2 linked regions of the Oryza sativa Japonica Group genome follow. The protein of the gene in region 2 interacts with the protein of the main gene of each other region in a pairwise test. Links are inferred from orthologs where the notes say so. Each region holds a gene or a part of one and is shown on either strand. Other genes may lie near its edges.

The links.
Region 1: the proteins of monothiol glutaredoxin-S11-like (region 2) and protein BOLA2 interact in a two-hybrid assay, tested with the Arabidopsis thaliana proteins (2 studies listed by BioGRID). The link is inferred for Oryza sativa Japonica Group from reciprocal best matches to the Arabidopsis thaliana genes GRXS17 and AT5G09830.

What each region holds. Positions count from the first base shown.
Region 1 is NC_089035.1:38,153,044-38,156,149, forward strand, and holds protein BOLA2, read right to left. Parts: upstream 1,402-3,106; 5' UTR 1,323-1,401; coding exon 1,260-1,322; intron 1,164-1,259; coding exon 1,141-1,163; intron 1,009-1,140; coding exon 810-1,008; 3' UTR 605-809; downstream 1-604. Other genes in the region: sm-like protein LSM3A, read right to left, coding at 2,302-2,382, 2,783-2,878. UniProt on the Arabidopsis thaliana protein: May act either alone or in interaction with glutaredoxin as a redox-regulated transcriptional regulator, or as a factor regulating Fe-S cluster biogenesis. The GRXS17-BOLA2 heterodimer binds a labile, oxygen sensitive iron-sulfur cluster.
Region 2 is NC_089044.1:19,787,811-19,792,066, forward strand, and holds the start of monothiol glutaredoxin-S11-like, read left to right. Parts: upstream 1-1,174; 5' UTR 1,175-1,303; coding exon 1,304-1,471; intron 1,472-2,647; coding exon 2,648-2,722; intron 2,723-3,383; coding exon 3,384-4,256. UniProt on the Arabidopsis thaliana protein: May only reduce GSH-thiol disulfides, but not protein disulfides. Participates probably to the maturation of iron-sulfur proteins and to the regulation of the redox state of the BOLA proteins.

The sequences.
Region 1 (3,106 bases), on a different chromosome or scaffold from region 2:
GACCAAAGAAGCAAAGCAAATGCTGAAGGGAAGTGGTTCATTTTCTATCAGATGTCAGCATGCATGCAGATCTCCAAGAAATTAATAGTGCAAGCAGCAAATGCACTTACAACACAACGATATGATTTTAAACTAGTTACCACTTTATTGTCCCCAAACTAGCTGAGAACTACTTATCACATAAACTAAAAGCCATCATACACCTAGCACCAAACACAATTGTATGATCATATCCAGTTTTATTGGTCCAGCAAGCAGTGAGAATAGTTTATTCTTAATATTTGTCGGCTTCACCAAAAATACAGAGACTAAATGCTCAAGTAAAACAATGTGGCATTATAGAACCCCTAGTAGATACTAGCAACTATGTCAGGCTGTGAGCCAGTCAACTTATAGTAGCAGCAATAAACAATACTAGATCAATCATGAAGCAACTGCACTTTATCTCTACAATCAAACAACCTAGTTCGAGGGGAAAACAATCCAAGTCCTAGGACTAAATATTAACTAGATGACAATTTATCGGCAAAGTTGCGAAATAGGATCATTATCTAGACGGCAATTTATTGGCAAAATTGTGAAATAGGATCAACTGCCAAGCACATGACGCGGGAAGCACGCAAAGTTACTGAAATTTCTAAGCAGTCAAGCATAGTATCATTCCAATTCTGCCATTGTATGCACATTATTCAAGCAGAGAGAGCTGACGCACATCTCAAACACCCATGACAAACGCTACACCAAGTGCATCGGTTCACTCGTGGTGCATATGTGATCGAACAGTTTGGAGGTGTGAGTTCAAGAACTACTTAAGCCTGGGGCGCCTTATCGGCGGCCGGCTCCGGCTGGGGCTGCGCCTGAGCAGGGGTGAGCGCCTTCTTGATGGAGACGGCGTGGATCTCCGCCATGTGCGGCGCCAGCGCGGTGTTCACCATCCGGTGCCGCTCCAGCAGCCGCTTCCCCTCGAACTTCTCCGACACCACCTCAATCTCGTAGCTCGCGCCGCACCTTCACACCAATCGATCAACCAGTCACCAAACACAAGATCTCTTCTCTTTCGTTCGTAACAATGGAAGCAAGCAAATTAAATACTCCTATACAAAGGTGAAGAACAATTGGAGTTTGGGGGTGAGGAATTACCCGCCGGAAGTATCCGTCACCACCTGAAACCGTGGAACCAAAGCAGAAGCGGCAGTTAGGGTTTAGAACGGCAAAAGGATGATGGATAAGCGGCGAGGGTTTAGGGAAGAGAGACTCACGAGGCTGGAAGGGCTGAGGGAGGAGGTGATGGCGGCCTCGACATCCTCCTTGGTGACGCCCATGGCTCGCGCGTCTCTTCGCCGCCTCTGCCTCTTCGAATCTGTGTTCTTCTGCGGGTTGAGCGAAGGAGGAAGACGACTTGGGATGGCGCCGGCCGTTTCACCCTCTCCTTTATTTGACCTCTTTCAGTTACCAGAAATATTCCTACTTGATGTGGATTGGGAATCATGAAAAGGTTTTTTGTTCTTCCCAATCTCTCCGCTGGATTGGGAATCGAATCTTCGGTTTGATCCCGGGCATTCTCTTTTCTATGGTGGTGAATTTTCGCTAAATTCATTCTTTTCTATGTGGTGAAATTTAGTTAAATCCATTCATGTTTCCCGAAGAAATTCGAATATTTTTGGCTAATACTTTGTGTCGTACTTTTTGTGTTGTTGGCTTGCTGTTTAGAACTTTAGATGGATACAATTTCATGACCGGGCGTGAGGATTTGGGGCGAATTCAAGCATGGCTGGAATGAAGATTGACTTTGCTGGTCAGTGAATAGTTTATAGATCTCTTTTTGTAGCTAATGAAATGATCATGTAAAATGTGTCTTTTCTGCAAGCCCTGGAGACACCGCTGCCGTGTGGCTGTTTGGCTGTTTGGCTGTGATAAGTCTTGGGACGGTGATACGTTCCCTGTTTGGCTGGGTGTTGTGATGTGAATCATATACGCTGTAAAAATGTTACAACTTGCTGGCTCTTTTTTAATAGAGATTGGAACAGGGTGTTCTTGGCATGTGGATCTACAAAAATTACGCAAGACATCACCACAACAAATATTAGTGCTTCGGGATTGAGTTGATTAATCTGGTAACAAAAGGTTGATTCAACATGACAGTAGAAACTAGCACCTCGATCAGAAATTGTTACACAATTGTATCATATGCTAAAACTAGAATCCATCAGAAATAGTAGCACTTCAGCACATAACACATGCCATTGATTAAAAAATACACATTACTCATGGTTGACAATCGGCAGGAGCTTCCTTCATACTTCATGCCGTTCGGAGGGGTGGAGAAACCAAAATGACACCATCACCTCGAACAAAAAGGAAGGGGATAGTGCGTTTTGTGGTCTGGAAAAAGACACGATTTAGCAATAGTTAGTACAGCATCAACATGTTCACCAGAAATTTCAGAATATAGCAGTAAGAAATATGTCCCAAAGCATCAGATTATTCCCAATAAAAAGTATGTAACCGCAATTATGTTACACTAAACCAGCAGTTAAGCACTATATGCCCAGCAGTCTAAGCACCATAGGTACTTTGAGAAAAAAATGTGCACAACAATATAGATGTGTAGTGGCACGCACAAGGTGGCAGCCAAACAACTCATGTGCATGGGTTAAAGCAAACATATTATCCACATTGATATTCCATCATCAATCAATGGTCAGGGTTAACCAAAACAATTATAGCATGACTTTCAAAAGTACTGATCACAAAATTTGCAACAAAAGGTCAAAACACTTACGCGCACAATTTCTTCATATGTCTCATCGTCAATCTCAACTGTTGTCACGATCTCCTCAACATCTCCAAGAATCATGTTTAAATGTTGATCGTATGCCTGGATAAAGAGGTACAAGAAAGACATCTCAGCAACAGCCATCCCAACTCCCAGCCATATTATGTTATAATATGGATCTCAGCTCTCAACAATGCAGAATAAATTGTACAGATGCACTAGAAAGGGTGAGAGTATCATGAACCAAAGACATTGCAAGGCAATGTACAATTGAAAATTTTATCAGCATACAGCATTGCTATTCACATCCAACATGAGAATCTAAACAAA
Region 2 (4,256 bases):
TTATCTCGTTGCAACGTTTCTGAACAATGATTTTGGTTTCGTGGTTGATTCTAACAATTTCAGCGTATTCCAGAACTCAAATGCTGCGTTTTTGGTGTTTCGCTAGTTTGTACTACCGAAAACGGCTGTTAGAAGTTGTACGCAGAAGAGACGACATCGGATCACTGAACACTGAGTAGAATGTCACATTTTATTTTACTAAGATAAAAGCTCACAATCTGTTTATAGGTGATTGGCGTCAATTTTGTACAAATATCCCATTTTAACAGAAGCATAATCACAGTTTACACAGTATGGGCCTTTTGTTTTCAGGTATGAGATCGAGAACTGTGTTTTATTTCGAAATCGCTTTTAGAATCATGTACTCCTAGCAAATTGATCCCTTTCAAGAAAGCCCTGTTTGAACAAGGTGGCCTTTTCCTAGAACTGTAATCAAGTAACGAAAATCTCTCCCAAAAACCATGAAAAAATTCAGAAGAGAAGAAAAAAAGAAGAGGGCAAAGTTACCGCAACTTGGATCTCAGCAAGATAATTGTGTCATCAGGAGGCCATGGCCATGATAGCAACAGCCTCACATGTAATCAGGAAGATAACGCAGTATTTCTTGAAAAGCATCATCGATCCACTTGATTCACCCAACTCACACACAAACCACAAAAATCACATAAAAAACAACAATAACCAAAAAAACCCAGATGTATCAACTACTGCTGACGGATTTCAGATCACTACTCCTACGCCTTACAGATCTGATCCTGCTGGATTGCTCAGAGAGATTCAGATACAAAAGGGGAAAAAAAACAGAGAGTCTCAGATCTACTTGCGGCGGCGAAGGCTCGGGAGGGGATGGAGGCTAGGGTTTCTGGCCATGCGAGTCCATTTCCCCATCAGGTGAACCCCTCCCCTTTTTTCACCCCTTTTATAGCCTCACTCCCCCGACCCGCAGCCGCGCTCCCGGCGGCGCCGAGACCCCACCACCGCGTCTCGCTCAGAAAAGAAAAAAAAAAAAGTCCAACTCGCCTAACGAGTGGGCCCGAAGCGGCCCAAATACCAGGAGACTTTCCGGCCCACCCGCCGCCCCGCCCGCCCCTTCTGGAATCTTCCGTCGCCTTCGCACCTCGTCACGGGAGGTAAAAAAGAAGAAGAAAAAAAACCGAAAAAAAAAAAGGAAAGCAGAGGAAAACCCCAAGCCGCAAGCCCCCCCGCCGCGAGTCGTCTTCTCATCTCTCCTCCGCCGCCGCCGCCTGCTGCTGCATCTCTCGTCGTCGCCGGTGAGGGAAGGGAGGGGAGGGGGGAGGGCGTGATGGCGGCGGTGAGGGAGGTGGGGTCGAAGGCGGAGCTGGAGGCGGCGGCGGGAGGGGCGCGGGCCGCCGCGGTGCACTTCTGGGCGGCGTGGTGCGAGGCGTCCAAGCAGATGGACGAGGTCTTCGCGCACCTCGCCGTCGACTTCTCCCACGCCGTCTTCCTCCGGGTACGTGCGTGCGCTCGTGCCACTGCTGGTGTCCTCCCCGATCGCGGTAGATTTGAGCTGTTTAGTTCGCTTAGGGTTATGGTGTGGTAAGGATTTTGGTGGAAGGTTACAGTGACTTGCTTGCTGGTGGCTTCACATACTGTATTTCCTACCATTTGTTTTAGTAGATTCATATGAGATGTTTTTCGGATGATGAATTGTGAATCTTGTTTCAAGAATCATGAGTAGATTTGGAATTAGTTTGCTTTTATATATCTGGGAAGTAGGTATATGTTTTTGAGAGGTTGATACTAACCTGGCTGCCTGGAGTTCTGCCATAATATAGAGCCCATAGTATATAAATTATTGATAGTGATTATTTCTTCGATGTTCTGTGTAGGATAAATGCTATTGAAGCTGCTCTACTTCTGTGTTTGATTTGTAACTGTGGTGTTGTTTCTTTTACTTCATAGTATTGTGTAGGGATGTATCAACTATCAAGTACAATTCTTCTTCTTTGATTGCCGATCCAACTTGTTTATCCAGTTTGACTTACTGCAACTAACTAAAGAGCCAGTTTGACTTACTGCAACTAACTAAAGAGGTAGTTGTGTAACATCCTTAAGCGCTGACCATTTTCCTGCTTAGCGTACAATTCTTTGATTGCCCATCCAACTTGTTTATCCAGTTTGACTTACTGGTTGAATGCAACTCCTGAAGAGGTAGTTGTGTAACATCCTTAAGCGCTGATCATTTTCCTGCTTAGCACCGATTCACTGTTTATTCCACCTTGGGTTGTAGCTTACTGCATGTCTGACTAGTTGCTATTGTGCTAGGAACCATACTCTTAGCGCTAGAATATGTCCTGCAACCTTTTGAGTTCTCAGTGGACTCTGAAATCTGTCAAGACTCAAGAGTATGAGACAAAATATAAATATTTCCAGTCCCTTACATAATTATGATTCGTTTTGCTACTGGATTATTCTGTAGTTTCATTGAGTGATACCATCAAACTGAGTGTTATATAATAAATACTGTTATAATTCAGTAGCTCTTCTTTGTGACTATTTTTCTTTGGGCATTACTTATATTCCTATTAGTCTCTCTAGTAATTGTTAATCACTGTATTATATTGTAGAATTTGACTTCTATATCATTTGCTTGTTTGTTTTCTCATACACTAGTAACTTTTGTCAGGTTGAAGCTGAGGAACAACCCGAAATTTCAGAGGCATATGGAGTTACAGCAGTGCCATATTTTGTTTTCTTGAAGGTATTCGCAACTGCCTTTATATAATTTGTTCTGACACGAACCATTTCACATAGTTATATATTTTTGCATAATAACTTCTGGTAGGATCATGATACTCTTCCTTACTAACTTGATGCGGATGAGTTCTAGCCTTGTATAATGCTAGTATGGCTATAATGCTGAATAAGTAGCTTGTATTCTTCCAACAAGATGAGAGGTGCAATAATTTTTTTATTCCACAAAATAGTGATCAGATTTGCTTGCTCATATACCCTGAAGTAATGAGTTTGGATTGTCTCCACTGACATTAGCTGCCTACAGTGAAGTTACCATTTTTTAGAGGTGCAGTAAAGATTCTACCTTGTTGTGTAATTTAGTGCACCATAACTGTCTGCACTAAAGACTCCTTATGAATGTATCTTATGACATCTGATGAGGTGTGTTGTCTGATGGTGTAACACACAGTCTCTCTCAATTCATGGACTTACAATCAGTATGAGCTGTGAATTGTGCTCTTGAACCAATGCACCTGATCATATGATTATTACTATTAAAGCTTGCATGCATAGGTCCTTTAGTATATTGCTGAATATTTGTTAGCAAATTATTTGAAATATCAGTATGATGCTTTTTACTTAAAGAGGTTGTCATCTTTGTGTCTTTGTTTTTTTGGGGTTTGCAGGAAGGTAAAACTGTTGATACTCTGGAGGGTGCAAATCCAGCCAGCTTGGCCAATAAGGTTGCAAAGTTAGCTGGGCCTGCCAGCGTTGCTGAGTCTGCTGTGCCTGCTAGCCTGGGTGTGGCTGCTGGGCCTGCTGTACTTGAAAAGGTTCAAGAGATGGCACAGCAAAATGGAGCTTCTGCCACTAGTAGTGCAGAAGATGCATTGAACAAGAGATTGGAGCAGCTTGTCAATTCCCATCCCGTCTTCTTATTTATGAAGGGAACCCCTGAGCAACCAAGGTGTGGTTTCAGTCGAAAAGTAGTTGACGTTTTGAAGCAGGAAGGAGTTGAATTTGGGAGCTTTGACATCCTAACAGATAACGATGTACGTGAAGGAATGAAAAAGTTCTCAAACTGGCCGACTTTTCCTCAGCTCTACTGCAAAGGTGAGCTGCTTGGTGGATGTGATATTGTGATTGCTATGCATGAAAGCGGTGAACTGAAGGATGTTTTTAAGGAGCACAACATTCCGCTGCAGCCACAGGGAAGCAAAAACGAGGAGGCAGTGAAAGCCAAGCCTGATACTGAGAAGAGTGGTGCAGTTTCTGAACCAGCTTTGCTTACTGCAGCTCAGAAGGAACGCTTGGAAAGCCTTGTTAATTTCAGCACAGTGATGGCATTTATAAAAGGTACACCTGAGGAGCCCAAGTGTGGATTCAGTGGAAAACTAGTGCATATTCTTAAGCAAGAGAAGATCCCTTTCTCAAGTTTTGACATTCTTACGGATGATGAGGTTAGGCAGGGTCTAAAGCTTCTCTCAAACTGGCCTAGTTACCCTCAACTGTACATAAACGGTGAACTGGTTGGCGGATCAGACATTGTTATGGAGATG